Diceros bicornis minor: one gene and its partner. The protein of the gene in region 1 purifies or fractionates together with the protein of each later gene. This does not show direct contact. Links are inferred from orthologs where the notes say so. Each region holds a gene or a part of one and is shown on either strand. Other genes may lie near its edges. The genes, in order: PFDN4 and PFDN5.

Region 1 (15,725 bases):
GGATACGGCCAGTGGGATGGTGCACAGTCCCTCCAGTGCATCCCTGCAGGCCCCTGGGGCCCTGGAATAGGCTACCCCCTCCCCCACGGTGGGGGGCAGGGGAGGAGAGGCATCGGCTCCTTCTCCTCCTCTGCTCTCTCCTCTCCAGCCTTTTTCTTCCGTTTCTTTAGACACGCTGTGATCGCCTACTGTTATGTGATACTGAAGGCTCTCTCCACTTTCCCTCCCTCGGGGCTGGCACCAGGGTCAAGCAAACGAGGTGCCTAGAGCTTGGAAAACGTGAGGAGTCACTCGCTCTGCGGTGCAGGCCTGGCCCTGCTCCCCTTCCCTGGCCTGTTACCTGCCACCCCCTGATCACATCTCGGCTGAAACACGATTCCTTCAGAGGCCCTCCCAGAGGGGAGATTTAGTTACATCCCCTTGAAATCTGCTCCTGTAGCAAGTGAAACTGGTTTCCGCTTTAAGTCAGAGATTTTAAATGTCCTTTTAAAATGTATTTATTCTACTTTTTAAAAACAGATTTTTTTTTTTTAATTGAGAAAATATTAGTTCTGTTGGTATTCTAGCAAAATATTACCAAGGTGGACTTGGTTGGCTTGGGTCTGGGGAACACTACCACGATCCTTGGGCGCCCCCTGCAGGCACTGAACAAATTACCACCTGATAAGGGGTTGGCTCCTCTGCCCCTCACTCCTCAAGGCCGGTGTGGAAGGGTAATCCCATCCAGATTGCCGTTTTAAGTCTTAGAACCGAGAACCTGGGCAGACATGGCAGATTTTGGAGGCCGCTCAGCACGTACTGCCATGAAATGAGCTCATTATCGTCTTGCGACAGAATCTAAATTAAGCCGAGACATGTCTGGACAATTTTGTACCTTAGGTGTGAATTCAAATAGAAGCTATTTTTCCCTTTAATTTTCCAGTCAACATACTTACTACTTCTTTCTTTGTATCTTCTTCATAGAGTTTTCATACTGGTACTTACATAGTCTTTTATTGTTATTTCATGTGTTCTTGTTATAGCTATTAATAATACACTTCCATTAACACTCATCTTCTAACATACTGTATAACTTGCTTCTATATTTTAAGTATGGTCTGTGTCCCACCACCAGAATGTAAGGTGCATGAGGATGAGGAAGTTGGTCTCTTTTTGTCACTGTTGTAGCCCCACTGCCTGCACCTCCCTTCGTGATCCAGTTGAAGGGAAAGAAGACCATCCTTTACCCACTCTGGGTCCTATCTGGCTAGGCTACAAATTAAATTGACGCGAGACGGAATAGCAGGAGAAAATCAAACAAAGCTTTATAACATGTATACATGGGAGAGACCCACTGGGTAATTGAGTATCTTGACAAAATGGGGAGGTTCTCCTCTTAAATAGATTTAGGTAAAGACAAAGGAGGATGTTGGGGTGGGGGAGTCAGTTATGGGAGATTACCAGTAAAGCACAGTAAGGTTATTATGCAGCCTTGTGTTCTACATTGATAAGTTTCTAGAGATGAGGTCATTCCCTCCTCTTCCCAGTACAGAGAGGGAGCTACATTTACAAATGGAGATCTTCCTTACAAATGTAAATGTTTGGTAAACAGAACTTTGATAAGAACGAGCTTAGCAAGGACCCTCCAAGTCTATGGATCAGTTAGTAGGGGGAGAGGTCAAAGTGTCTTTTAGAAAATAATCAAGGTAAAGAGACATATTTTGAGACAGCCAATTCCAACCTCCCAGTCAACATGCCACAAATGCCAGAGGCTTCATTGGCTACTCCAGTGAGACAGGAGCTCTTCCTCCCCAGGACCCCTCAGCACTGGTCCCAGGGCTGCAGCCCAGGTGCTATGATTAGTGGTGACATATGTGTGTCAACCGTAAGCTCCTCGAGGGGCAGCACCTTGTCTAATTCACATTTCTTCTCTTTCGCACCAGCATCTACAGATTTCAGGCAATGCACACACAAACCTCCTCATTTAGATCTGCGAGAACAGAAGCCTGGGGGGTGACAAGTTCACATCCCTGGAGGGCGTGACAGGTAAGCACACGGACGGGGCAGGTGGGGATCTGGGGGGGCCCTGGGGAGGGCCTGCTGGCTGCATGGGCCACGCCTGATCAGCACCAGCAGCTGCTGCGCTGCAGGAATGCAGGCTTAAGGTCGCCAGGACTCTGATTTTACAAACTCAAGCAAAACAAAAAATCTGGTACTGTCAAGTGAAATCTCCTAATTTTCATATGTTGGTTCAATTTAAGAAAAATACTGTGTGGGTCAAAAATGCCCATATCTTGGGTCCAGTCAGTGGGTGGCCAGTTTTCAACCTGGTGTGTTCATTCACCCTCAGTGGGGATGGCATTTTCCAGTGGTTATTGGTGACTTTCCTTACTGACCTGCGGTCTCCAGGTGTTCCCCCAAGCTTCTTTCTTTTGCTGGTCCAAAAAGGTAGGGACAATCCCCAGCTAGAGAAGAACCAGAAACAGAGGTTGGAAATGCTCAATATTAAGGAGTGAGAGGATGCATAGAAGAAGACCTGAAAGTCCCCATTTGTACATGCAGAACTGGTTTTCCTGCTAGGAAAGAGAGGAGCTCAAAGGACACCCTGGGCTGGGGCGGGGAGGGGGGATAGGGATGGCGGGAAATAGAACGAGAAGGAGGACTTCTGAACCGGAGGGAGCCAATTCAGCACCAGGGTCGCCAGGGGTCACCCCGCCGTCCTTCTGTCCAGATTAAACGACACTCCCCCATGCCAGGAGACTCTGCTCAGCCCCTATGGTACCCAGGCCTCGTGGACAGCCCCATCTGATGACCCAGAGCTCCCTCATAGAAGACACCCAAGAGCCCTTGAGTCCTTCCTCCTCCTCCTGGTTTTCAGAAGCCCAGCCCAGTTTCCTATTTAGGCAGCCATGTTTCCAACCTCAAGGAATCAGTCCTAATTGTGTAAGGTAATCATTAATCCAGCTGCTTTTGCCAGTGACTGAAGTGGGCATAAGACAGACATAAGGGCAAGAGGGCTGGGAGATTCTGAGAAATGCTTTCCTCCTCAAGAGCGAGAGAAAGCAAGAGAGCGCGAGAGCACAGTGGAGAGGACAGTGAGATCAAGCCAGAGGAGCAGAGGCCACGAGGGGGGGGGGGGCGCCGGCCCCTTTCCCCTCTGCCTTTGCACGCTCTTGGATGAGGACCTGATGCTAGGGGAAGCAGCAGCCATCTTATGATGCTAAACGGAAGGCCAAGGACTCACAGAATATCTGACTGAAAGCCATAAGGTCTGCTATGGTCTGAATGTTTGTGTCCCCCCAAAACTCCTGCGTTGAAATCCTAGTGTCCGATGTTAACGGTATTAGGAGGGGGGGGCCCCTGGGAGGTGATCAGGTCATGAAGGTGCAGCCCTCGTGAAGGGGAGTAGGGCCTTGTAAAAGAGACACCAAAGAGCTCCCTCACCCCTTTCTCCACGTGAGTCACAGAGAAGGTGCCAGTTACAAGCCAGGAAGAGAGCCCTCCCCTGACCACGCTGGTACCCTAACTCGGACTACTAGCCTGCAGAACTGTCAGAAATAAATGTCTCTTGTTTCTAAGCCGCCCAGTCTGTGGTATTTTGTTACAGCAGCCCAAACAGATGAAGACGACTTCTTTGCGCTGCTGATCCAGCCCAGCCATCCCCCTCCTCCCTAAGAGACAATGACTCCTCCTTTCCTCTCCTCTTCCCACGCTGGCTCCTCCCACTCTGGTTAGCCTAATAGCCACCTCCAGAGAGCCCCCCCCACCACTCCCTTCTGTTCTCTATCTCAGCACCTCACATGTTTCCTTCATGCGCTCGGCACCATTTGGGATGATTTTGCACTTCTCCTCCGCTGTCTGTTTCTGCAGTGCCTTTAAATTTTGCTGTCGTTTGTGAGCTCTTAAATGAGTGTCACTGAGGAGCATCTACAATGTGCCAGACGGTGCAAAGATTTAACCCCGAAAAAACTCCTTTATCCAACGAATACATACTGAGCGTATAGGAGCTGAACACTGTGAAGACCTAATGCAAAGGGCTTGGAGTCTGGAGCTCTGACCCTGACAGAACAGGCAATGCTCACGCAAGGCTAAGTGCTTTGGTAGGGAAAGCAGAGGGTGCTACAGAGTTCCATTCCCCCGCTTAACCAAGGAGGAAATTGAGACTTTGAGAAAGGACACTTGTCTAAAGCAGTTCTCAAACCGTGGTCCGTGGACCCTGGGGTCGCTGAGATCTTTTCAGGGAATCCAAGAGGGCCTCCCTTTTCCAACTACATATCTGTGTGAGACCACATTTTCTTCATATACATCAACTAAACAACATATCGCAAGAGATTGAATGCAGAAGCAGATATGAAAAGCTAACCTTCAATCAAGCCAGACATCAGATTTGCAAAAATGTAAAACTATGCCCTTCTCTATTTTTTGTCTTGGAAAAGATAGTTATTTTTAATTTAAAATGTTATTTATATTAATATGGAATTTTTTTATCTTAACTGAATTAATATACATTTTTAAAATTCTTAGTTTCAATTTCTAATATGGTAACTATCGACGAATATAACCCACATAAGTAGACGTTCTTTGGGCTCTTCAATAATTTTTAAGAGTTTAAAGGGATCCTGAGACAAAAAAAAAAAGAATCGAGAGGCACAAGTGTCAGAGTATACCGTAACTGCTCAATAATATGTTGAATAAATTAATAGGAGTACTCCCTCCTTTACACCATCTGAATTATCAGGGCACATACATCTCACATCTTATCGCCAAGGTCATTCATCCTCAGCTCTTTTTAGGCAGGTCGATTTCTTACGTGGTTGGCGGGACTGCTTTCCTTCCGGCCCCTCGTGGCCTCGCCCCCGGCCCTGCCCCGCGGTGCTGGGCGCCCCCTGCTGCCCGCCGCTGCAGCCTGCGGCCGTTCGCCACACCCCCGAGTTTCTGTCGGCCCACAGGGAGTCGCCTGTCCCTTTAATTGGCATGTACCAAGTCCTTCCAGGGTACATTTCCCCCTGAGTCCCAGAAGTGAGGGATGATTGGTCGAAGATCCCATCGGGGGTTCTGTGGCGAGGGTGTGTGTTTCGCGGGAGTCCCGGGCCGCCAGGGAGTGAGGGCGAGCGCGGGGCAGCAGCGCGCCGCCGCGGCCCTCCCCGCCCCGCGCCGTAGTGCAGTCCCAAGATGGCGGCCACCATGAAGAAGGCGGTGAGCGGGGCGCTCGGGGTGCGGGATGCGCGGCCGCGGGGGGCCGGCCGCGGGGCTGGGGCTGCGCAGCCCCGGAGCGCGGCGGGGGCCCGGGGCCGCGGCTCCGGACCCTGAGGGCGGCCCCGGGCGAGGCCTGTCGGCGCCCTGGGCGGCTTCGTAGGCCCCCGGCCGGCCGAGGCGGAGCGCCCGGGCCGGGACCCTGGGAGGGCTCGGGGCCGCCCCTCGCGGGGCTGAGGATGGCCCTGGCCTTGTCCTTGGGGTGTGTGAAGCCGAAGGTCCATTGACTGCGGTGGGCCATTGCGCTGGCGCGTACCTGGGTTGCCACATTTAACCCTCACGTGTTCGCAAGGATGGGTGCGACTGTCCCGTGCTGTGCGAGTAGGGAAGCTGAGGCCCAGAGAGGGGGAGCCGCTTCCCCAAGGTCACGCAGCGGGAGGGGGCAGAGCAGGACCTGCACCCCCTGTGCCCAGCCCCGACACGCCCAGGGGCCCGCGCGCCCTCCGGGCCGAAACCGTGAACATTGATGATAGACGGTGGGCCGCGGCCCAGAAGCGGTCCGTTTATTAACTCGGATCTTCCAGCAATTTAGCGAGGACACGGGTCGCCCCCCACTTTGCAGGCGGAGAAACTTAGACACAGAGCGGTTAGTGGCCTCAGAGTGACTTAGCTAATAAGAAGCGGAGCTGGAATTCAAACTCAGGTTTTATTTTGTTTTTCCAAAGCGCTGCTTTTATCTCACTAAGCAAGCGAAACTTCTATTTAGGGTTTATAATCCAGTAGGTCTACCCAGATGCTTAAAAATATACAGGTAGAAGAAAAATAAAATAGGGAGGGCCAAGGAAATAACAACGTGATAATTATTGCAGGTTTACTGTGTGCTAGGCACAGTTGTAAGCGGGTTGCATGCATTATTTTGATCTTATATTGCTTTTAGGGAGATACTGTTTTTATCCTTATTTTACAGATGAGGAAACAAACACAGAGGCAAAGCTAGGATTTAAATCGACACAGGCGTTCTGACTCCAGAGCCTGTGTTTTTAACTTCCATGATGTCTGATGAGAGTCCCCGAGCTGAAGGGGTTTGTTTTCCAGGTTTTGTATATTCGCTTTCATTCCATTTCAAACCCCCCATGAGAACTTGCTTTTTTGGCTGTTTTACTCTGCATCACTGACATTGTCTGAGCCACCTGCTTCTGGTGTAGGGCAACCAGCCATCCCGGTTTGCCCGAGATTAAGGGAGAGCTAAAACTGGGAAAGCCGCAGGCAAACCGGGATGAGTTGCTCACTCTGTTGGTCTGTCATCCACAAATTCTGATTGAGTACCGGAGTAGGGTTCAGGGCCATGGTGATTCACACTGGTATGGAACTGTGAGATTCACTCGGCCTCTATTTTGTATTTAAATTGGGCCCTCTGTTGTTAGGTATGCTGTTAATTCCACAGAAGATACTAGTTGTGGTTCATCCGCTTTGACAGGTGTGGAAACTGAAGTGCAGAGAGATGACAAATGTTGAGGAAACGGTAAAAGAATGATTTGAATACTAGACTTTGCAAAACTTTTGATTACCAACATTTTTTCCTTTCATTCATTGAACAAACTTTTGAGCGTCTAGTATGGCGCAGTCTCGGGTTTAGGTGAGGGAGGTAACCATGGTGAGCGGTAATGAAGTTCTTACTGCCTTGTCAGCCGGTAGAACTGGTGCTCTGGGGGAGAGGCAGGCATTACTCAAATAGTCACATGGAAATCTGTCAAGTTTCCAACGCCAATAAGAACTATGAAAAAAAAAGTGCTTGTGAAATGAAGGCTGGAATAAGGTCTGTTTTGTGATCTGAGAAGGTGGGATCTCTCAGATTACGGAAGGAGAGGGAAGGAAAGTTGGCAAGAGAGTGAGGCGTTCTAGAGAGAGAGTATCTCCTGCAAAGACCCTGCGTGCATTTAATAAAAAGGAGGTCAGAGTGGCAGGGAATTGGGGGAGGAGAGGATGAACCTCCTCTCCTAAGGGGTAGACTTACAGAGGGGCAGGTTGTGGCCAAAACAGCAAGGATTGTCTTCTGTATCTTGGTAAGACTGGCACGACAGGTGCAGCGTCCTCTTGTGGACGTTTGCAGTGCTGTGGACAGTTTCTGATAGGTTAGCTCTGTGTACTGGACGCTTCACCTCCCCCCACTCTAGGAGGAAACATTTAGGCAGGCCAGTGAGTGAGAGTGAGATACCATAGGGCCAGCCCTGTAACAGAAATTGTTTGCAATATGCGGTATTTTACATTTGTAACACATTCTACCTCCCGACAGGTCATGACTTTCCTGGTGAGAATGTTTAGATGAGATGATCCAGTCCTTGCATCTCCAAAGTTCTGCTTTCTAAGAACGGGTTCTTGGCATGAGAGGGACTGTATTGTGATTTCTGTTCGTTGTCCTGAGTACAGCTGTCCCCTCCCCAGAGAGGCCATCTTTGACCTTCCTTTCTAAAGATGCCCCCTTCACTCCCAGTGAAGCACTCCCAGTGCTTTCAGCTCCTAAACTATTTTTCTTTCCCCGTCACACGTATCACCATGGAGCACGATCTGGTTCCCCTTATTTTTTGCTCACCTGCTCCACCAGAATGTACGCTTGCCTTTGTTCATGAGGGTAGGACTGTGGCTCTCTTTTCACGGTGCCTGGCATATAGGAAACACTAATTATTAAATGAATCACTGTAGGCATGAAAGGTGAATAAGAATACAAAGCAAAATTTTATATCACAGAGACTTGGTAGATACCTTTAAAAAACAAAAATAAGAGCAGACTGAAATGGCCCAGAATTTCCTCCTGCTAGGCTTTTAGGGCAATGAGGGACCCAGCTGTCAGTCCAGATTCTGCTGGTAATCCCCAAACTCAGTGTGGGGCGTGATGGAGTATGGTTCCCTTTCCTCCCAGAATCCCATGAGATAATGATTCTCAAGAAAAGGGTACAGTCAGGGTTCAGGGAATTTTGATTTTCATCTTGAACCTTGAGCAGTTATATTTCGCTTAGGCCTAGCAGGATTTTCCTGTAGATGTGGGTCTGTTCTTCCTTTGTAATGAGTTTTGGTAAACATTATTCAGGAAATAAAGCACTTAGCTATCATTTATTTATTTATTTATTTTTTGTGAGGAAGATCAGCCCTGAGCTAACATCCATGCTAATCCTCCTCTTTTTTTGCTGAGGAAGACCGGCTCTGAGCTAACATCTATGGCCAATCCTCCTCCTTTTTTTCCCCAAAGCCCCAGTAGATAGTTATATGTCATAGTTGCACATCCTTCTAGTTGCTGTATGTGGGATGTGGCCTCAGCATGGCCGGAGAAGCAGTGCGTCCGTGCGCGCCCGGGATCCGAACCCGGGCCGCCAGTAGCAGAGCGCGCGCACCCAACCGCTAAGCCAGGGGCCGGCACGAGCTATCATTTATTGAAAGGTGACTCCATCCCCAGGACCTATGCTAGGTGCTCATTTTATCATCCTGGCAAGGTAGGAACCAGCTTCCCCATTTTACAGATGACAAACCTGAGGTGGCTCTGAAGAACTGAGTACTGTACAGTAGTCACCCCTTATCCATGGCCTCACTTTCTGGGGTTTACTTTCCTGCGGTCAACTGCGGTCTGAAAATATTAAATGAGTGAGAGAGAGCACATTCACATAACTTTTATTACATTATATTGTTACAGTTCTATTTTATTGTTAGTTATTGTTGTTGATCTCTTACTGTGCCTAATTTATAAATTAAACTTTATCTTGCTATGTATGTATGTATAGGAAAAGACATGGTATATATAGGGTTCAGTTCTATCCGCAGTTTCAGGTATCCACTGGGGGTCTTGGAACGTATTTTCCCGTGAATAAGGGGGGCTTCTGTAATTTGCTGAAGGCTCCTGCTCACTTGGATTTGAATCCACTTTACTATTTCTACCACCTGTGCTGCCTCAAATACTACAGAATAACTCCTTCCTCTTGAATTCTTAAGACTTGTGAATGGAAGTAACTACATGTGGCTTCTCTTAAATCAGGAGTTCCTAACTTTTAGGGGTGTGGATCCCTTTAAGAATCTGATGAAAGCTATGAAGACTATTCCAGAAGAATGCACATACAATACACACCATCTTGCATACAATTTCAGGGGGTAAATGGACCTCTCAATGTCCGCTGACCCTCAGTTAAGAATTACCTTCTCCGTGCCAAAATGATGCTTCAGGCAATGTAGATCAGTGAGATTAAAATGGAAGCCACTGCTGTTAGTCCTGGAAGGTGCTGACGTCTCACTTTTCGATGTAAACAGCACTCCACTGGGTGGCACGTAGTTTAACCCGTGCGTATTTCCCTCACACGCGGATGTTAGCCCTGCACCCCGGGGAGAAAACCACCGTTAAGGAAATGAACTCCAGGGCCAAGTGTGCTGGGGCTGCTGTCTGGTGAGGCTGCGACAGGAAACGCCTGCTTGGGAAAGATAGAAAGCAGGTGCCACATTCCCTGAACAGCTTTTCAGAAACCGGGCGTGTGTGAGTCTGATGGAGCATGGTTTAGATCCAAATCCAGAGACAGTGCGTTAAGCCTCAGATATATCAGGCAAGCCCTGTGCTAGGTGCTTTCACGGGAATTACTCCGTTAAACCTCACGGTGAAAAATGCATCTGTAAATACATATTCAGGTTTTCAGGGGCTCAGTATTTAAACTGTAGGCAAGCAGGAGCTGTTTAGAATTCTCTGTTCCCTCTTTGCCTAGGGAATTGATAGCTCTTATGTAGGCAAAACGTCTTGAATACCAAGTTATCTGCACGTGGACTTTCTTTGGTTTCTGTCGTGTAGCTCAGTGCTTCCCGTCTTCTGTATTCATAAAAACTAGGCACAAGGTTGAACATTCAAAGCTATATATATCGTGATGTAAAGGAATTTTTCAGGATGTCCTCTGGGTCTCTGATGATGGGCCTGACGCATGTGAAACTGTTAGTTGGATGAAGAGAGCCTGGGCCAGGGGAGGGCTGAGTTCTAGGGGTCTGCCTTTATGTTCTCACCGCTGAGTCCCTTATTGCCCGAGACAGCAAGTTGCCCTTCAAGCTCTGGAGAAGTCAGAGTGGCAACAGACCAGGTGAAAGGATGGGTGGGGTGTGGGTATCGTGAACCTATTGCTGTTATTGGCAAAAGAGCCCAAAATAGTCCTTGTGGAAACTATATCTATCTTTCCCTCCTTTAAATTACAATCAAGTGCTCTTGTTCCTATTTTATAAATGAAGGGAAACTCGAAAGAGAGTCTGGTATTAATTTGTTTTTTTTCCCTAAATATGTGGTCCCCCTTTGAGAGTCTGATGAAAACCAAGAGCTTCCTGCTGCCCTTCATGCACACACACTTTCGCCTGTAACTTCTAAGAGCTCGTGGACCTGTCTGGACTCTGGAGTTGCAACTACCTGGGTTGAAATCGAGCTTCACTGCTTATCCTTTGTGTGGCTTTGAGCAGATTATTTAACCTTTCTATGCCACAGTTTTTCCCTCTGTAAAATAGTGGTACTAATGATCCTGCTTGTTAAGATTGATTGGAGGATTAGCAGAGATGATAAAGCACTTAGAAAGTTCTTCACATGTAGTAAGAGCTCAGTAAATGTTAGCTGTTATTTTTATGGTTTCATAGATATTTTGTCATCTAACCACTCTAATTTTATTTACAAACTTAATCACATTAAATATTTTTAAACATTCAGTATTCATCATTTTACGGTAAATTACACATTACTCATAATTAAGACATGTAAACAGATTCTACATTAAAATAAATATAATTTTTACTATTTGTGGAATATAGCCACTGGAATGCATAGTGACCCTCTAGCCAGTGTATCAGTTAGATTAAAAATTATAGAAACTGTCTGATTTCTGATAGCGTCAACAAGCTTAAGCAAGTTTTAACTCTGAGAGAATAAACTAGTATGAGGCATTTACCAAAATTAATTACCACGTCACTTTTTGCTCCCTGGGTTATCTTGATGAAAGAATGTTCCAACTTCAGGATTTCTGCTCTAGGCCAAAAGTTGGCTGACTTGATTGAGGACTTATTCTTAATTGATGTTTATCTTTGAAATGTTTTTGTAGCTTAGGCATTATTCCATAGAATATCAGAAGAGGTTATAGATTTAGGAACAAATCTTAAGCTCGTGGAGCAGAAAATTAATAAGGCCTATGTTTGTGGTATTCTTTACATCTTGTGGTTCTTGACTATGTGAGGGCAAACAGTTTATTGAGTTATTTCAGAGTTATATAAAAAGCTAACCTGTAACTTCTCCATTATACTTAATGCTACAAAAAATGTTTTTTCAGGCTGCAGAAGATGTCAATGTTACTTTTGAAGATCAACAAAAGATAAACAAATTTGCACGGAATACAAGTAGAATCACAGAGCTGAAGGAAGAAATAGAAGTAAAAAAGGTATTGAAAATATGTATCTTATTGAAGAAAAATAAAAGTTCTTTATACTATAGCTTTTTAACACTAAATTCAATAATATGTGATTGTGTCTCTGGGCTCTTTGTTGTGGATGACATAATCCACGCCGGTTAGTTTAAGAGGAAGGACGTTGTTCAAGGGGTGTGAGGTAATGGAGAGATTGTTGAGGGGTGTGACTCTAGGCTGAGGTTCCAGGACCACATCTCAGAACTTGGCTGGTGACGGGACTGCTGTTGTCTCCACTGATCCCAGAGCCGGCTCCTCCTCCCCAGTGAGGAAGCTGCCCCTCAGACCTAGGAGCGCGGGGCCGCCGCCGCTGCCCGCCCCTGTAAACCAGGGGCCTTGTGCCCAGCCTCCCTCCTCAGGCAGCTCCTGAGTTGAAGTCCAGTTCGAGGGCATTTGCTTGCTGGGATTGAAGTTATTATTTGCTTTCATCCTGTCATCAAGCGAGGCTGAGAAATGTCCGTTTGTGTTTCTGTGTTCGCTCTTCCCTAGGAAGGCAGAGCTCACAAAGTAGGAGACATTTTGAGTGGCCACAGATGCCCGCTGTCCACCACAGGTTCTTCCAGCAATCTGGAAATATCTAGAGGACGGTGTGTTAGTTAGCTCTTAAGTGCTTCCTTATGAAATGTCATCTAAAAATCTAAGAACGTCTTATTTTAGTGTGATAATGCCTTGTGAAAGGGTCCCTCAGAGGGTCAGTGTCCTCAAATTAATATTGGCTTTAGCCTCTTATCAGGGTATTTTGAATATATTTTTCATTGCTGTTTACTTTTGTGTTTATAGAAACAACTCCAAAATTTAGAAGATGCTTGTGAGGACATCATGCTTGCAGATGATGACTGCTTAATGATACCTTATCAAATTGGGGATGTTTTCATTAGCCATTCTCAAGAAGAAACACAAGAAATGTTAGAAGAAGCAAAGGTGTGTTGATGTCTTTCCCTGAGTGATGAAGTCTAACTCATAAATTAGGGTTTATATCATTATAAAGAACATTTAATATAGGTGTAGGGAAGATAATGGATTCTAGCTAATATTTTGTGGGTTCTCACAATGTCCCAGGCATGCTCTGAATGCTTTGCAAGCATGATTCTATTTAATCCTAACAATGACTCTATGAGATAGGTGCCATTAATCCCAGTGTAGAGTTGAAGAGGCTTAGAGAGGTTGTAGGTCTTGCTCAGAGTGACACAGAGGGAGTGATCTTCTGACTCCAGAGCCTGTGCTCTACACTAAAAGTATTTAGAAAGTACAGAATATTGTAAAGTGGGAAAGACAAATCACCTGTAATCCCACTACCCAAAGACGATCGTCCATAATGAACATTTTCATGTATTTCTCTTATGTTCTCTTCTCTTTCTCTGTGTAGTTTTGCTTCACATTTTGGTCAGTTAACATCTAGTAGGTGTATTTTCTCATTCCGTTGAGTGTACATTCATTTGTCCAGCAGATACTCACGGGGAGCCTGCTCTGGGCCAGGCACACGTGCTTTAAAAGCAGCATTTTTGATGACTGTTTAATGGCACGTTGGAGGACGTTGATTCAGCTCGCTGTCCTCCTGTGGTTAACATCAACTTGTTTCCGCTATTTCCCCATAGCAATATTGTAGCGAGCATTCTAATACCTAAATCTTTGTTCACATTTAGGAAATTCTTTTAAGGAAATAATGAGAGAAGCGTAATTAATTACCGCATCAGAGTATGGATTCATCGACAACATTTGAGGCATTTGAGACATCGTATGAAATTAGTTTCCAATTCACACGCCCTCCAGCTGTGTATGAGAAGGGCAATCACATTGTGTGTGAGAAGCTGATGGCAGTTAAACATTTTCTAAATCTTTTAAAAAAGTGCTTAATTAACTTGAATGTTATTTAAAATGATAGTCTCCTTTCTTCAAATGTCGTAGAAAGCAAAACTTTCCATGAATTAAACCTACATTTAATAAACCTTGGGAAGAAGTAATACTTTTGCCCCTGGATCTTTCCATGCAGAAACATTCATTGTGTCTGCCCTTATGTTTAAATCTTTTCTTTTATAGTAAAATTTTGTAATTTTATTCCTCTTTTATTTTAACCATCCTAAAATATTCTTATTGGAAGTATTTCAAGATGGTTTGTGGTTTTTGTCATTATTGTGAACATCATCTTCCCCCCATACTGAACCTTTATTTTTTTATTTATTTATTTATTCATTCCAGAAATATTTATTCAGTGCTTACTTTTGTCGGGTTCTACCATGTACTAGGGACACAGGGGACAATGAAACATGCCAGGTCCCTGCTCACGTGGAGTATATAGTCTAGATAGAAAGAGAGAAAATTAAGCAAGTAAAACTAATAATGAGTAGAAAGTGCTATGAGTGTAGAGCTGCCTTTAAGAACACAGAGCAGGGGGTCTATACTGATCTAGACTCAGGGTTCAGCGAGGGGCTCCCTGGGAAAGCGATGAGATGACAACTGAAAAATCAGCAAGTCTTAGCCAGAAACTGGGAGGGACTGCTCAGACGGAAGAGACAACGTGTGTGAGTGAGTGGTCATAAAAAGATCCTGGTACAAAGATAGAACTGAAAGATGTTTAATTGCCAGGAGATTTGGGAGCATCTGAACATGTGGCCAGATCTTGAAGAACTCTGTCAGTTGAGTTGAATAAATTGACTTTATTTTAGCAGAGGTCAGCACACTTACTGTGAAGGGCCAGATAGTAAATATATTAGGCTTGGTGGGCCACCTGGTGTCTGTCATAATTACCATGAAAGCAAGATGTGTAAATGAACACCATGGCTGTGTGCCGGTAAAACTTCCCAAACCAGCTTCAGGCTAGATTTGGCTCCTGGGCTGTAGTTTGCTCACCCTTGTCCTAGGGCAAGAGGAGCCTTTCAGGGATTTTAAGAAAACAGTGATATGCTAAGACTTGTGATTTTAAGATAATTTTCTTGTATGTTGTAATTTTACTTATTAATTAGGTTTTCTATGTGTAGAAATTATCTTCTTTCTAATAGCCGTACATTTTGTTTCTATTTCTTGTCTTAGAGCAGTGGTTCTCAGACTTTTAGCATGCATCAGAATCACCCACAGGAGGGCTTGTTAAAATTCAGATTGTTGGGCCCAACCCCAGGAAGTTCTAATTCAGGAAGATTGGGGTGGAGCCCTAGAATTTGTATTTCTAACAAGTTTCCACGTGATCTGGGGGCCACACTGTGAGAACCATTGGTCAGATCTCTAACAGAATAACATTGTCAATACTAGGCATTCCTCTTTTGTTCCCGATATTAATGGATATACCATTTGTATGGTTTCATATTTTCTTTGTCATGTTTGGGAAGAATCCTTTTTTTGATCTTAGCCAGGAAGGAATTTCTGAAATTTCATGCGTTTCATGTGGGCAAAGCTGCTCTCTCTTATAAACAAGGCACTCATTACTGCTCTCTCTCAAAGTCTAGCTCCAGGGTCCTCGTAATTAGTGACAATTTCTGCCAGATTTTGACTGTAAGTTGTTATTCTTAATTATGGGTGGTAGTGTGAATTTTTATCATTTCTTCTAGTTTCATAGTTATTTTTGTTGGAAGTTGGAAGAGGTTGTGTCAGAAGCCAGGCCTATGATAAACTGTTTACCAGAAGTGTATGTATATGATTCTTCCTTTATTAGGGTATGATAATTTAGGAATTAATTTTCTTTTATCTGTTGTGGGTTTTAAGTCAGCAAAAACTGGAAAAAAATTAAAAAAGCTTGATTTATTCTATAGTAAGCAAATATAGACCATGAATTAAAAATGCCCACATTCAGACTTTTGTTATTTAGCTGCCTGTCCAAGTTTAGAACGTTTTTGACCTAAAATCCTTCCCAAATATAACTTCATCCACAGATGCTCAGAAGTTATTCAGTTGAATAGAATTAATTTAAATTATTTTTTTTCCAGAAAAATTTGCAAGAAGAAATTGACGCCTTAGAATCCAGAGTGGAATCAATTCAGCGGGTGTTAGCAGATCTGAAAGTTCAGTTATATGCAAAATTTGGGAGCAACATAAACCTTGAAGCTGATGAGAGTTAAACATTTTATAATACTTTTTTTAATTTGTTTAATAAACTTGAATATTGTTTAAAATGAT
Region 2 (15,616 bases), on another chromosome or scaffold:
ATACCCCACCTGGAGCCCTGGCGAGCCAGCCTACTCTGGATTCAGGCCCTTGCAAAGGTGGCTGGCCTCAGCTGCTGCACTACCCAGCTCTTTGCAAGCTCCTGGGGCTGGCAACCACCACTGGTAAAGAATCCCCCAGGCTCAGAGCCCCCTAAGCCTCGGCACCAAAAGCATTCTGGACGAGGGCGCCAGCAGGTGGTCTCTGCGACCCCACCCCTCCATAATACCTCTCTGAAAGGTCTGGAAGGTGGAGGACCACCCTGTACACCTAAGCCCCCGGGCCGGGTCAGGCAGGCTGGCCCTCGTGTCCCTTTCACCGTGTTTGAGGAAGTCTGCCCTACACAGAGCAAGCCTGAGGTTCCCAAGGCCCCCAGGGTACAACAGAGGATCCAGACACGCCTCAAGGTGAGGTGGGACTGTGGCTAGGTGGTGTTGGTGTCGGGTGGGGGTGGTCCTGGAGAGGAGCTCTGCAGAGCAGGGGTCTCTATGGAATAGCTTGCAGGGGCTGATGGGACCTTCAGCTCTCTGGTTATCTGCAGGATCCCTACACACGGCAAGGCCTAGTTCCAAGTCTACCTTTGTTTCAGACAGAAGGCACTTTCCTTAACTCTACCATTCCTTTCCTTTATCCTTCCTCCTCATCTTCTGTTCCCTCCTTCCACACCCAAGAGTTGCTGCCCCTGGTTGAGTGTGGTGGGTGTACATGGGAGGTTAATTCTTAAATCTTCCCCAAAGGCCTCTGTGATGGTGCCCCCACAGCGCCACCTGCTGGCAGACGATGTCTTGTCACTGAAGACCCCCTGGCCCTTCTTCCCTTCCCACCCATCCCAGGTGAACTTCAGTGATGACAGTGACTTGGAAGATCCTGTCTCACTTGAGGCGTGGCTTGCAGAGGGGCCCCAGAGACGGAGCACTGCTTCCCGGGGCCGGGGCCGGGGCCGAGCTAGGAAGGGCCCGAGCTCGAAGACTGATGCGGTGGCTGTCCCAGGTAGTGCCCCTGGGCACCCTGGCCTCGGTGGCAGGAGCCGGAGGGCCAAGAAGGTGGCATCAGGACATTGTGAGGAGCTGGGCCCCGAGATCATGAGGACCATCCCTGAAGAGGAACTGACTGACAACTGGATGGAAATGAGCTTTGAGATCCTCAGGGGCTCTGATGGGGAAGACTCAGCCTCAGGTATGATGGCAAGGGTGGGGGATAGAAGGTGCATGTGTTTTTGGGGGGTTGCCCTGGGGCCAAAGCACAAGAAATGACTGGTGCCAAAGATAGTACAGAAAGAAAGTTCTTTTGCTGGCTCTGGAACTGGATCCTAGAAGGGAGAACAAAAGGGATGGCAGGAGGAGGGAACTCCACAGAAAAGTCATGTTCTTTCCCCAGGTGGGAAGGCACCAGCGGCAGGGCCTGATACAGCCATAGAAGAATGTGAGGTGTTGAGACGGGATGCCAGCAAAGAGGAGCTGCCCATCCCGGGCCCAGGCAAGGAGAGAGACAAGGATCTCGGTCCTTGGCTCCAACTCCCCTCGGCACCTGCAGCCATTGGTGAATATGCTGACCACCGAGGTCTGGTCATTTGGAGAGGGCTGAGTCTCTAGGTCTCTTGATCCCAGTGCCTTTCCAGTCTGTCCTTGGTTCTGGCTTTGGATCCCCATCTTGTTCTAGTTGCCTTTGAACCTGGGTTTGAATCTCAGCACTCTCTCCACTAGCTGTTTGCAAGTCACTTAACCTCTCTGTGCTTCTATTTTCTGTTTTTTTGGGGTTTTTTTGCTTAAGGAAGATTAGCTCTAAGCTAACATGTGTGCCAGTCGGCCTCCATTTTGTATGTGGGTCGCCACCACAGCATGGCCACCGACAGGTAGTATAGGTCCACACCCAGGATCTGAACCCAGGCCGCCAAAGCAGAGTGCGCCAAACTTAACCAATAGGCCACGGGACCAGCCCCTGAGCTTCTATTATCTTAATTGTAAAATGGGGTTTGGGGAGGACGGATTAAGTTGATGCATGTAAATTGTGCAGCACCCCGCTTGGCACATTGCCCTTCATAAATGCTAGCTGCCATTTTCCAAGTGGGAAATGAGCTAGGGACTCCTTTGTGTAAAGTTCCTGTCAGCTAGGAAATAGGGGATTCACTGCAGCGAGTGTCTTGACCTTCCTCCAGGTCTCTCTACCCTGGATTCCATCTGTGACTCACTGAGCATCGCTTTCCGTGGGGTCAGTCACTGCCCTCCCAGTGGGCTCTACGCTCACCTCTGCCGCTTCCTGGCCTTGTGCCTGGGCCACCGGGACCCCTCTGCCACTGCCTGCCTCGTCACCGAGTCTGTCTCCATCACCTCCCGCCACCAGCTGCTCACCCACCTCCACAGGCAGCTCAGGTGAGTGCCCACCATCCGCAAGGCTTGTGCTGGAGCAGACTGAAGGGAGAGTCCAGACTCTGAAGGAGGGAGAACTCACCCCTACTTGTGTTGCCTGCAGCAAGGCCCAGAAGCACCGAGGATCGCTCGATATGAAAGACCAGCTGCAGGGGCTGAGCCTCCAGGAGAGGCTCCAAGACGTCCCCCTGGCCCGCATCCAGCGCCTCTTTTCCTTCAGGGCTTCAGGATCTGGCCACTTCCCCCAGCCTGAGAAGAAGAGTTTCCAGGAGCGCCTGGCTCTGATCCCCAGTGGTATGGTGGCAGCCTCCGGCTGGCGCGCCTGTCCTTTCATGCATCTTCCTGCTGAGGAGTTGGGTGAAGGTGCTGAAGGCATCAGTTAGTTCACGTAGTTTTCTGATCCTTATAGAAGGACACGTCATACCTTTTCATTGATTAGTCATTTTGTTACTCTCACCAAACAGACATACTGTAAATCTGGAAGTCTTTCTTTTTTTGACCTTAACTTTGAGTTACCAGCAAGTTAACTGTCTTTCTTTAAGGATAAGTGCGGGGGTCCAGGGTCTTCCTACGCTCACATGATACAGGTTCACAGGGGATGTGAGTGCCTCACTCTGCAGGGCCCTTTGTTAGTTTCAGCGAGGGACACAAAGAAGTACAAGACATGGTCTCTTTCCATAGGGAGCTGTTAGGGCAAGGGAGAGCACCTTGCACTCCAGTGACCACAAAAGACTTCTTGGAGTTGTCTTGAGTGCAGGATAGGGATTGAATGCAAAAGACAGGGAAGGGAATTCCTTGTGACAGCTGAAATGATTCTGGCTATGTCCTGTGTGTCAGGGGTGACTGTGTGTGTGTTGGCCCTGGCCACCCTCCAGCCTGGAACTGTGGGCAACACCCTCCTGCTGACCCGGCTGGAAAAAGACAGTCCCCCAGTCACTGTGCAGATCCCCACTGCCCAGAGCGAGGTAGGTGTCCTGGGCTAGGGAGCAAAGTTGGGCTGGGGTGGGCTTCTGGTCAAGCCGCTCACATTCTGTGGCTGGGGGGTGGAGAGATGGTGCTCACATGGACAAGCAGATATCTCATAGCCCCGTCTCCCAAAGCTGCCTCTGAGTTTGGCCCTGAAAGAGTTTGATGCCATCCAGAAGGAACAGAAAGAGAACAGCAGCTGTACTGACAAGCGAGAATGGTGGACAGGGCGGCTCGGACTGGACCACAGGATGGAGGTGTGTGCCCCCAGGGGGGGTGGGGTCAGGCTGCCCTAGGAACGATCTGGAGTGCCAATGTCCTCTCTCACGGGTCCCAGCTCAGTGCCGAGCCACCTCTAGCCCTTTCTGGAAGTGTAGGCCTAAATAAAAAATTATGTCACTTGGGAAGGACTTGAGACAAGAGCCCAGAACTTGAAGGAGTTATGACAATGGAATGTTTAAAGATACACACAAGAAAAAGGATTTAAGCCCAAGTGTCAGCTTCACAGTTTTGCTGTCATTGCCCACCTGTTCGTATTTGTCAAAACATAGTGATAGGTAATAAATCATCTCATCTGTACTGCCCCCAAGTCGCAGCAGATGAAACATGTTTCTAGCTTCTTGCCTTCTATGACTGGCAGAAGGAAATGTAAGACAGAGACACACAGGAAAACCCATTTCCTCCTCTCGGTGTCGGTGCCTGTGGGAAAGAAACTCGGCTCCCTCTCTGCCTGAAAGTTCCGTTCTACATTCAGGTTCTCGTCACATCGCTGGAGAAGGTTGTGTTGGGCTGCTGGAGGGGGCTGTTGCTGCCATCCAGTGAGGACCCCGGCCCTGCCCAGGAGGCCTCCCGCCTACAGGAGTTGTTGCAGGGATGTGGCTGGAAATATCCTGACCCCACTCTGCTGAAAGTGAGTTGAGAATCAGGGAAGGGGCAGAAGCTAGACTTAACTCCTTCCCACCTGCCACTGTGAGCGGAGCTGGAGCTGTGGCATTCACTGACCGCTGTGCCCCTGCAGATCCTGCTCAGTGCTGCCAGTACTCTCACTGCTCAGGACGTGCAGGCCCTGGCCTGTGGGCTGTGCCCTGCCCAGCCAGAGCGAGCCCACGAGCTCCTGAGTGAGGCCATAGGGCGTCTACGGGGTCAGGCGGTACCAAGCAATAGGCACCTTGTCTTAGTGCTAGACAAGGTAAGGAGCTGGGGCCCGAGGGGCAGTGTCTGGTGGGCAGTGGGCACCTATTCACCCCCACGCCCCTTCTGACTCCTGCGTATACCTGGCTAGGGACAGTAACCTCTCAGTGCTTTCTGCCCAGGACCTGCAGAAGCTACCATGGGAGAGCATGCCCAGCCTCCGGGCACTGTCTGTCACTCGGCTGCCCTCCTTCCGATTCCTCCTCAGCTACTCCATCATCAAAGAGGTTGGGGGTTCAGGGAGTGGGGCATGGGGGTGATTGGTGATTGGGTGGGACTTGAAGAAAGAAAATGCAGAGAGACCTGGGAAGAAAGGAAAAGGTCTTAGGAATGGATCAGTCATGGCAGGGGCTTAGAGTTTGTGGGGCTGCAGCCCTCTGGCCAGACCAGGATCCTGATAACCACTGTCTCTTCCTCAGGCTGGGGCCTCATCGGTGCTGAGCCAAGGGGTGGATCCGCGCAGTACCTTCTACGTCCTGAACCCTCACAATAACTTGTCAAACACAGAGGAGCAATTTCGAGCCCATTTTAGCAGGTCGGGGGGATAAGAGTAAGAAAGGGGGTGGAGAAGGGTGGCGACAACATGCAGGCACCATGTCCTTTTCTCCAGAATGAACTGTTGCAGCCCACCCTCTCCCTAGCGTTCCTTCTGCCCTCTTTGCTCTGTGGCCCCTCTTCTTACTCCTGCTTTTTCCCTGCAGTGAAGCAGGCTGGAAAGGGGTGGTCGGGGAGGTGCCGAGTCCGGAACAGGTGCAGGCAGCCCTGACAGAGCATGACTTATATATGTGAGTGCTTAGGGCAGGGAGGTAGGGAGAGGGGCTGTCCCAGAGGAGGGTATCATCATGGTTTGCTTTGGGGCTTTAGAGCCCCTGGCTGAGTCAGGAGGCCTCTGGAGACATAGCAGAGGCCTGATACTGCTCATTCAGGCTCCTCTCACCTCCTTCTGCCTCAGCTATGCAGGGCATGGGGCTGGTGCCCGCTTCCTGGATGGACAGACTGTCCTGCGGCTGAGCTGCCGAGCAGTGGCCCTCCTGTTTGGCTGCAGCAGTGCAGCCCTGGCTGTGCATGGAAACCTGGAGGGGGCTGGCATTGTGCTCAAGTATATCATGGCTGGCTGGTGAGTCTCGAGAGGCAAAGCCCATCCTAGGTCCCCACCCCAGGTTCCTTCCCAGGTCTGAACCCTAAATCCTTCTTCTCTTGTACCCCACCTTCCTCCCATCCTAGTCCCCTGGCATGCCTGGGACTTTAATCCTTTACCCTCTTCTCTCCTCTTAGAACTATGGGCCCAGGGACTTCCTCATTGGCTCAATTCTCTCTACCCACCCATCACCAGCCAATCATGTTTTCCTGTGTATTCTGTTTTAGAGCCTTTACTCTGTATTTCTTCCTTCTTTTTTCCCAGCCCCCTGTTCCTGGGTAACCTCTGGGATGTGACTGACCGTGACATTGACCGCTACACGGAGGCTCTGCTGCAGGGCTGGCTTGGAGCAGGCCCAGGAGCCCCCCTTCTCTACTATGTCAACCAGGCCCGCCAGGCTCCCCGACTCAAGTATATTATTGGGGCTGCACCTGTAGCCTATGGCTTGCCCGTCTTCCTGCAGTGATCCCTTGGAACTGTCCTATCGCTGATAGAAGCCATGTGACTGTTCTACCTCCAAACTTAGATTTAACCCTTAGGGTAAATTTTAAGTGATTTTCCCCAGTGTTTTATATGAAACATTTAACATTAATGTAATAAAGACACATTATTTAAATCTTGTTTTGTGTAATTCATTTGAAGACAAGACTATTGCCCCCCACCGACCATGTGGTACTATAAACAGATGAGAACAGCTCACAGGAGTTCAAGTCTGAGAGCCTTGGGGAGAAAGGCAAAACCACAGGACAAAGCTGGGCCTGGCTTGGCCTCAGCAGACAAAGCTGAAGGAGAGAGGGGCATCAAAATGCCTTAAGTGGGGACAGAGGCCCAAGGAAGGGTAGAGAGAGACCCACTGGGAGCGTCCTGAGCAGGCACCATCATTTCTGTCCTGTCTTCCTGCCCTCGGGTGTCCTGGCAGTGACATTAGCTTTAATGCCTCAGTTGCCCCCCCCAACTCCCAAAGTTGGACGTTAGAGGCCGTTCTCTCCCCACACACAGCTGTTACACTGGTCGGTGCCGTGCACTTCAGCAGCGGATTTTGTGGGGCTCCGCTGTTTATGCATGGTTTCTGTCTCCCCAAAGAGATTGTTAAGCTCCTCAGAAGCACAGACCTCTCCCCTATCCCTCCATCTAGCACACGGTAAGACATTGCATTGATTAATAAACCTTGTGCCGTACTCGTCCGTTGATAACGTGGCTCTTGATCATGCTCTCCACCCCTAGACTCCTCAGCTTCATGCCGACAGCACCACTTTCACGACGCTACTCCCCCTGACCCCGCACTTCCCAGGCGTCTTCCTTGACTCTCAGTCACCGGGTTTATACCATCCACGTGGAGTAGCATACATTGCTTTGCAAAATTGCGGTTATGGCCTGAGTACTTTTAAGATTTTTAAGTTCCTTGAGGGCAGGAGTCCTGTTTGCCACAATTTTACTACGCTAGGCTTGGGATGTCTTATGCAGAGAACGCACAACTACCTTCTCTCATCAAAGGCGAGTCTGAGAAGCTCAGCCCCTCCCGGGACGGGGATCATAGAGATGTCTGGCGCAGCGAGGCCTCCCGCGCAGCCATCGAGGCGCGCAGGGGAAGGCTAGAGCGCTGCTCGCAGAGCCGCCTTCCGCTTCGCTAGTTCTCCTCCCCAACATGGCGCAGTCGGTTAACATCACGGAGCTGAACCTGCCGCAGCTAGAAATGCTCAAGAACCAGCTGGATCAGGTGGGGACGGGCCCCAGAGACAGCCCTTTCCCCCCTCGCATCCCTCCTGCCCACGCGTACTCCCTCGCCCCCCTTCCTCCCCACTTTGGGAAGCTTCTCTTCCCAGGTGAAACCCCCATCAGGTCCCAGGACCCGCAGGTTCCCACTCTGACCCTCTTTCCCGTCCTCTGTAGGAAGTGGAGTTCTTGTCCACGTCCATTGCTCAGCTCAAGGTGGTACAGACCAAGTATGTGGAAGCCAAGGACTGTCTGAACGTCCTGAACAGGAGCAACGAGGGTATGGGGTAGGCGTGTGAAGGCAACCGGGGGGTGTGGCGAGCCGGCTTCCTCTCTCGTCCCGCCTCCTAATCCAGTTGCCCTTACCCGAGACGAGAAAGCAATCCGTTACATATTGTCTGCCGCTACACGAGCCCTTTGCATGGTGCCTGCCTAGCATTGAAATGTACAGGACATTCCTCTGCTCCTGTTCCCCGTTTCCCTTCTTTTCATACTATCTCTGGGCGCTGTGTCATGTTGGAGTTCCCTTTTAACATCTTAACGTCGGAGGTGCCCACCTTCCCCAGATGTTTGTCTTAATTGCTTTTACAGGGAAAGAATTACTCGTCCCACTGACGAGTTCTGTATCCTTTCCACACGAACTGCTACCCTGCCCTCTCCTTTTCTCCTTCCCCCCTCCCCAAAAGGGGTGGGAGGTAGTTTTGATTATTCCAGAGTGCCCCCATGGTTCTGAGAACACTCTTATTATACACACTTCGTAGCTCTCCTGTCTAACCTGGGGCCAACATCCAGTCAATGCCTTGTGAGCAGGAAATATGTAGAATTGAGGTGTGATTATTTCCTTTTGCTGTTTGAGGATATAATCTAATATGGAGATAAAACTGGTGGTTTACACTTTTACTAATAACTTAGAAGACATAAGCAATAGAATAAGAGGATATAGAAACAAAGGGATTGGCTCTGTTTATTAATCCTCAATTTCAGCTTAATTGTGGCTCTTATTCCTAACCTTTTGTTACTAAGAAACCTGGGTTGTGTCTACCTGTTGAGTGTTTTACTTGAGTAAGTTATGACAATAGGGCACCTGGAGACTAGTCTGAGAACTGACAGGCTAAAAGAGAAACACAGGAATAGCAGTGTAGTAGGGATTGGCTAGATAATGAGCACTAAATCCATCAGGAATTAAGTAGTTCATAGTTGGGAGTGCTGAGGGGAAGTGAGGCTGGCTTTTCACTTTTCACACTCTACAGCAGTGAGAATATATTATGTCTTGTCTTTCTGGAGGGGCTAATGGGAAGAATTGTAAGAACTGCTTGGAGGTGGGAGATGGGATCAGGGTAAAAGTGTTCCAGCCTATGTCATTTTCTCCACAAGGAACCAGCTTCTCTGTCTCTCCCCATTTGGAGTTTATAGGTATAGTTCTAGGGCCTCCAGATGATTCAGTCCCTGTGCCTCGGAGATTTTTAGAGAAGGAGGGTCTTAGAAAGCCAAGCAGGCTAGTGACAGGGAATCATGACTCCTGCTGGGCTAGTTTTCCCTTAATCCTTGCTTCTCAGATGTATGTCCCTGGGAAGCTGCATGATGTGGAACACGTCCTCATCGATGTGGGAACTGGCTACTATGTAGAGAAGGTGAGTGGGAGGAAGCATGTGCATACTCCTGTGAGCGGGGAAAGGGAGTTTAGGGGAAGACTAGAGTGCAGCATTGGAGTCTCCTCTTAGCTCCTCATTCACCTCTGACCTTGCAGACAGCTGAGGATGCCAAGGACTTCTTCAAGAGGAAGGTAGACTTCCTCACCAAGCAAATGGAGAAAATCCAGCCAGCTTTGCAGGAGAAGCATGCCATGAAACAGGGTAAGGTTGGCCTGGGGGCACTGCTTGACCCTTTCTATATCTATGATAGAGAACATGGATTGCAGGTGAACCAGAGGGGTGTCCCCTTTACTGGACTAAAACCATGTCTTTTTCTTTGGTGTTTTGATGTGTTTATTCTCTAGATTCTGTGCATTACATACCTGCTATTTGTAGATTCCTGGGGGTGGGGCGGCGTGGAGACAGTGCTTGAGAAATTGAGAGGAAGAAAATCATGTCTGTGCCCTTGTGGAGCTCCTATTAATTAGGATGGAATGGGGGAGAAGATACATGTAAGTGAACACAGGAAAGAAATAGAGCCATGGGCCGGCCCCGTGGCTTAGCGGTTAAGTGCGCGCGCTCCGCTGCTGGCGGCCCGGGTTGGGATCCTGGGCGTGCACCGACGCACCGCTTCTCTGGCCATGCTGAGGCGACATCCCACATACAGCAACTAGAAGGATGTGCAGCTATGACATACAACTATCTACTGGGGCTTTGGGGGGAAAAAAATAAATTAAAATTAAAAAAAGAAAAAAAGCCTTAACTAAGTACCAGCAATTGCAACCCTGGCTGCTGCACATTAGAATCATCCAAGGAGGTTTGAAAAGAAAGCCTGGGCTCATCCAAACCAACTAAATCACCCGGGGGGTAGGGAGGGGGATTCCAGGGGTCAGTGTTTTTTAAAAAGCTCCCCAGGTGATTCTGTTACACAGTCAGGATTGGGAACCACTGTTCTAAAGGCAAAAATCTTTTCCACATTATAATTTCCTGGTTATGTCTGACTCATTGAATACTGTATTTTGTTCATTTTCCTATCCCAGTGGTTATATTGACTGACACAGTGTAGACTCTAAATTTGTGTTAGTGTGTGTCCCCCACAGTGGATCACTGTTAAAAGTTTTATTAACAAACTGTAGCAGGTTGTCTGCCTGTCCTTAAACGTCCCTGTCACTTTTCCTGACCTCTAGGTTCTCTCCTTTAGCTCCTGACCAGGCTCTGACTTCTTTTTCACAGCGGTCATGGAGATGATGAGCCAGAAGATTCAGCAGCTCACAGCCCTGGGGGCATCTCAGGCTACCGCAAAGGCCTGAGAGCTTGTTACCGAAATGGGGCAGAGGCATCCGCTTTAGCGGCCTGGGACTTTGTGGGCGTGGCTTCCTGGAGTCGGGGAAAGTGAAGGGTCTTGTGTTTCTTGCTAATAAACGTGCCAGCGGGACAGAATGTCGGTCTTTTCTTGCGTTAAGCAAGGGCCTGGTGATGAGCTGGGGGCGGTGGTCGAGAGGGTGTGCCCCTCCCCCCTCGCCGGAGCCTGATAAGCTTGGGAGTTGCGTACTCGGGAACCCCGGCAGCGTGCCCTCCCTACAGGGCGGTTACCGTGGCAACGGCCGAGAAGCGGAAGTGGGGCTGCGCGTCCGCTTCCGCTTCCGGGTCCCCCCTCCCCCGCGGGGAGGCTGCATGGGCTGCCGCTTCCTGCGCGGGTTGTTGCCTCTGCTGCGGCCGCCGCCACCCCTGGAGGCCCGGTCCCGCATGCTCGGCCCCGAGTCCGTCCCGCCCCCCAAACGACCCCGCAGCCACCTCATGGCACCGCTCCGAATCGGGACCCACAACGGCACCTTCCACTGCGACGAGGCCCTGGCGTGCGCGCTGTTGCGCCTCCTGCCCGAGTACCAGGTACGGTCCGCGGAAACGGACCCTGGGACCGCCCCTCACGAGGGCCCTGTGGTGGCTCGGGCCCGAGCACCGCCCCTCCCCGCGCGACTCCTCTGGACACCCAGTTAATCCTCTACCCGCGCGACCCCTGGCAGTCCCTCACCTCCTGTGTCCCCTGCAGGACGCAGAGATTGTGCGGACCCGAGACCCCGAAAAACTGGCTTCCTGTGACATCGTGGTAGACGTGGGCGGCGAGTACGATCCTCAGAGACATCGATATGACCATCACCAAAGGTGGGTTTCCAGATTCCATGTCTTTAGCTTCCTTGAACTTTCCTCAAGTTCAGCTCCACTTCAGCCGTCCGCTGCTGTGGTCCGTGTAAGCCAAGGGATGTGCCTGCCTCATCCTTGAAAGCAAACTCTTGAGTCCCATGGGACTACAGCCCTCCATCCTTCCAGCTCTGCCTGCTCCGGGCCCATCCACCTGGCCTTGGAGCTCCCTGAGCCCTGGCATCTGTCCCGGCCTCCCTTGTCAGTCGTCAGGCCCCTCCCCACTCACCTTCCTTGGCTCAGTCAGGCTTTTCACCCCCCAGCACCATCATCACCCCCCCTAGTACCCCAGCTATTCATGTGCCTTTGCTGCCCGGCCTCAGACTGCTGGGCCCGCGTGATTGTGCTGGTTGCTGACCGTTCAGATGTGTGTGGTCTTCTGCTTCATTTACACTCTTCCATCGGGAAATCTTTCTTTTTCAAGGGTACTCGGTTGTCCACAATACCGTTCCAATCCTTTCCCCTCTCCTCAAGCCCTACCTTATCAGACTCCCTCAGTGTGTGATCCTGCCTCTTAACTTTTCAAAGGAAATTGAGCTTTTTCTGCATGCACGTCCTCAGCTCCCTCCTTCCAGCTCAGGAAACACTGCTCTCTTCTGCTTGCCCCTTTTCCAATCTCTTGCTTTCTCCTCTGGGACTCCGCATCACAATTCTCCCACCAGTGTTTCTACTTCTCCTTGCCTACAGCCTAAAACTCTGCTTGAGCAGCATCTCCCGTCTTGGAAACAAAGGAGTGAATAAAAAACAAAACCTCCGCACATAAACCACACTGTTTACAGCGGTTACTGCTCAGGGATTATGAGGAGGTTTTATTTTAAGTCTCTAAGTACTTCTCTCCCTTTCTCTCTCTCCTTCCTTCCCTCCCTCTCTTTTTTAAGTATACATATTACTTTCATAAATGATGTTGGGAGGGAACCCTCCTGGTATTTACAGCCTAATCTCTCACCCTCACTTGTCAGCCAGTCTTCAAAAGAAGAGCTGACCCTGGCTCCACATCCCTTCCAATTCATTCCTTCATTCAGCCGGTTCTCTCCCAATCTCGCCACTGGAAATGCTCATGGAAAGGGCACCAGTGACCTCAACACCAAACTCGGGTTGCTGACTGAGGGTCTCACCTTAACTGACCTCTTTGTGGCACTTGACTATTGACTACTTCCTTTTTCCTAATGATTTTATACACATTTTTTTAAATTACGCACTTTTTGACACATAGAAGAATGTATTGAACATTTCTGGAATGTAAAACATAAAATGAATACCCATGAAGCAATCTCCCAGCCTAAGAACTAGAACATTACCATTACCGTAGCATCTGTACCTGTGCCGCTTCCCTGCTGCATCCCCTTCCTCCCCCAGATGTAGCAATATCTCGAATTTTGAGTTCATCATACCTTTGTTCTTGTGTATAGTTTACCAGATATGTCTGTTTCCATCAACAATTTATTTAGTTTTGCCTCTTTTTGAACCTTATGTGGCGGGTTATTGTCATTAGTCTTTATACCTTATAAATATCTTATATTTTTTGTATTTACTCAATATTGAATAATAAGTCATTAAAACAAAAAACGAGCTCCCTAGGTGGTTGTGGCGGACCGGTATTTAGAAATTACAGCTGTAGTTTCTACTTCCCTAACAACTGTCGTACCTTTTTCCTGTTCTCTGTCCTATTGCTGTTCAAACTCCTGCCTTCCTCGCTCACCTGGACCTGGTAATCTGGAGCTAATCTCCTTGCATCTGTTCTCCAGGATGCTGGCTGGCACAGTGCTCTTCCCTGCTTCAAATCTCTCAATGGCTCCGCATCACCCACAGATAAAGTTCAAACTCCAAAGTGTGACGTACAAGGCCTGCCATGATCTGGCCCCTGCCTACCCCTGCAGCTTTATCTTTTGTCACTCACTCCTCACACCCAAGCTGCCTCACTTGCAGTTCCATGAGGAGCCCTGTTTCTCAGCCATTGTACGTGTTGTTCTCTCTACTTGGAATGCCTTTTCTCCCTCACCCTTTTGTCTGGTGAACACCCACTAATTCATCTTGCAGGAATGACCTGAAGGCTCTCCTCCTGAACCCTTTCCTCATCCCCTCCCCCCTTTTCCTTGTTTAAAACTAGCTGGAGCATTCGCTTGCTTGTCTGCATTTGTCTGCCTTTAGCAGATGAACTTGGGGGACAGGTCTGTTTTTTTATCCCTAATATCTAAAACACAAAGCCTGGCATGTGGTAAGCATTGAGTTAACCACTGTGGAGTGAGTGCACGAATGGAGACTCCAAGCCAAGGTCCATGTTGACCCCTGAGGAGGAGCCAAAGCCTCTACAACTCCGGCAGTATTCCCCAGCCTCCCCACCCCACTTGTGCCTGCGTGCCCGCACACGCTGTGGGCTAACTGGAGCCGCTCTGCCTCAGCCCCGCCTCCCTGTGCTCCTCAGATCTTTCACAGAGACCATGAGCTCCCTGTCCCCTGGGAAGCCGTGGCAGACCAAGCTGAGCAGTGCGGGACTCATCTATCTGCACTTCGGGCACAAGCTGCTGGCCCAGTTGCTGGACACTAGCGAAGAGGACAGCATAGTGGGCACTCTCTATGACAAGGTGGGGACCTGAGGACAGAGGTGCCCCACACACACATCTCCACCAGGCCAGCTGGGAGTGGCACTCAGGAGTGGGCCTCGGGTCAGGGTTCCTGGCTCATAGCTGGCCCGCCACCCTCTCCCTCAGGCTCGTCTTCTCACAAAGGGATGGTTAATCTCTCTCCGACCTCCATCCTGGGGTGGTTGTGAGAAGTGGGTGGCGTACTATATGGGGAAGGGCTTTAAAAACCATAAAGCAGTGTTTCCCAGTCTTTTTCTTAACCTGACACACCTAAAAAATGAGTGTTCAACAACTTGGTAATAGCAAAGGCTGCTTATGTTTGGAAGCATATGGCTCAGAGGTTCTGGCTGCCCTGAAGGTGGAGAGGAGCCTATCTTAGACTGTAATTCACCGGAGGCACACAGGTTGGGAAGCTCAGCTGGATGGGTTTAATTATGGAAATATCTTCAGGTTCCACCAGTGTCCCCTGCAGCAGCTCAGCAGGTTCCTGCTGTTGGGGGAAGAAACAGGGCTAGTAGCCCTGGCGTGCATGTCAGGTCAGTGATGCTGAGGACACCCACTTGACCCTACTCCTGTGAAGCTCACAAGTCAAACTTCAGTCAACTCTGCTTTTTGCAGAATCAGCTGTTGAGTTCACTTCTGTCCCAGCTTGCCTATCTTCTGCCCCCATGACACAGCATTGGTATGATCCAAAACAGTGAAGAAATATGAACAGTTAAATTGGAGCTTTTGGAAAGTAAGGTTTTAGACTGCCGGGTCAACTTTTTCTTCTACTGCCGAGAGGTTTCTAAGCAATTGAACTAAATTACACCCAAGTTTTCACTGAGTATCAGGTTGGGGTCCAGACCAAGAGGTGCTGGGCATAGAGGGGTTTCCTTTTCAGCTCTCCCTGAGAGCAGCACTTTTTCTATGTACCACAGACGTGCTGAAATGCAGGCAGGCCTATTTCATAGGGCAGTTTTGCGTTAAACACTGATATATCGTTTCTGCCCCCAAATTCTTGAGGCATTGTCCTACCCACCCCCCTTTTTTTTTGTGAGGAAGATTAGCCCTGAGCTAACATCTGTTGCCAATCCTCCTCTTTTTGCTGAGGAAGATTGGCCCTGGGCTAACATCCATGCCCATCTTCCTCTACTTTATATGTGCTATGCCTGCCACAGCATGGCTTGATAAGCGATGCGTAGGTCTGCACCTGGGATCTGAACCTGTGAACCCTGGCTGGCCAAAGCAGAGTGAGTGAACTTAACACTACACCACCGGGCCGGCCCTGTCCCACCATTTTAGGCTCAGGAGATGCAGTAACTGCTGATGCCACGTGGCACATCATGGGCTTCCCTGGGACCACATCCCAGCTCTTGACATCTAGTCCAGCACTCCTCTCCCAGCTGACTCATGTGCTTGGCCAGAGCCTCAACCAGGTCACTGAGTAGCCTACTCAGCCCACCCGGATATTTGCCTACCCTCAGCCATAGGGCTCCACTCCCACAGAACTCCTCATGAAACTTGAGACCGTCCTTGTTCAGAAGTCAGCAGCCCCCACCACACACATGCTGGCTTTGGCTCTGGCTTTGGCAGTATAGTGAGCGCTGGGTTAGAAATCAGGTGATCCGAATTGTAGCCCTGGCACTCTTAGCTCTCTGACCTTAAGCCGCTGACCTCCCCAACTGCCCCTTTCCCCACCCAGTTAGTGTTGAGAGATCCTCACCGGGCTGTTGTGAAGACTAAATGAAAAAGTGTGTATGCACATACTTTGAAACCTATAAAACTTTATGCAAATGGTAGGTACCCTCGAGCCTTTCTCCTGCTGCTGCCTTAGATGTACGAGAACTTTG

What was found.
Region 2: the proteins of PFDN4 (region 1) and PFDN5 purify together in Homo sapiens (affinity purification with mass spectrometry; 5 studies listed by BioGRID and IntAct, counting the BioPlex papers as one, with this or other methods). This does not show direct contact. The link is inferred for Diceros bicornis minor from reciprocal best matches to the Homo sapiens genes PFDN4 and PFDN5.

What each region holds. Positions count from the first base shown.
Region 1 is NC_080758.1:8,631,173-8,646,897, reverse strand, and holds the start of PFDN4 (prefoldin subunit 4), read left to right. Parts: upstream 1-8,933; 5' UTR 8,934-10,184; coding exon 10,185-10,268; intron 10,269-11,489; coding exon 11,490-11,597; intron 11,598-12,401; coding exon 12,402-12,542; intron 12,543-15,535; coding exon 15,536-15,667; 3' UTR 15,668-15,725. UniProt on the Homo sapiens protein: Binds specifically to cytosolic chaperonin (c-CPN) and transfers target proteins to it. Binds to nascent polypeptide chain and promotes folding in an environment in which there are many competing pathways for nonnative proteins.
Region 2 is NC_080756.1:16,967,944-16,983,559, reverse strand, and holds PFDN5 (prefoldin subunit 5), read left to right. Parts: upstream 1-7,269; 5' UTR 7,270-7,304; coding exon 7,305-7,376; intron 7,377-7,549; coding exon 7,550-7,652; intron 7,653-7,963; coding exon 7,964-7,995; intron 7,996-8,928; coding exon 8,929-9,003; intron 9,004-9,119; coding exon 9,120-9,225; intron 9,226-10,236; coding exon 10,237-10,313; 3' UTR 10,314-10,443; downstream 10,444-15,616. Other genes in the region: ESPL1 (separin), read left to right, coding at 1-405, 832-1,174, 1,376-1,537, 2,154-2,367, 2,468-2,658, 3,202-3,329, 3,465-3,587, 4,085-4,240 and 6 more; MYG1 exonuclease, read left to right, coding at 10,678-10,893, 11,054-11,166, 13,625-13,784, 15,601-15,616. UniProt on the Homo sapiens protein: Binds specifically to cytosolic chaperonin (c-CPN) and transfers target proteins to it. Binds to nascent polypeptide chain and promotes folding in an environment in which there are many competing pathways for nonnative proteins.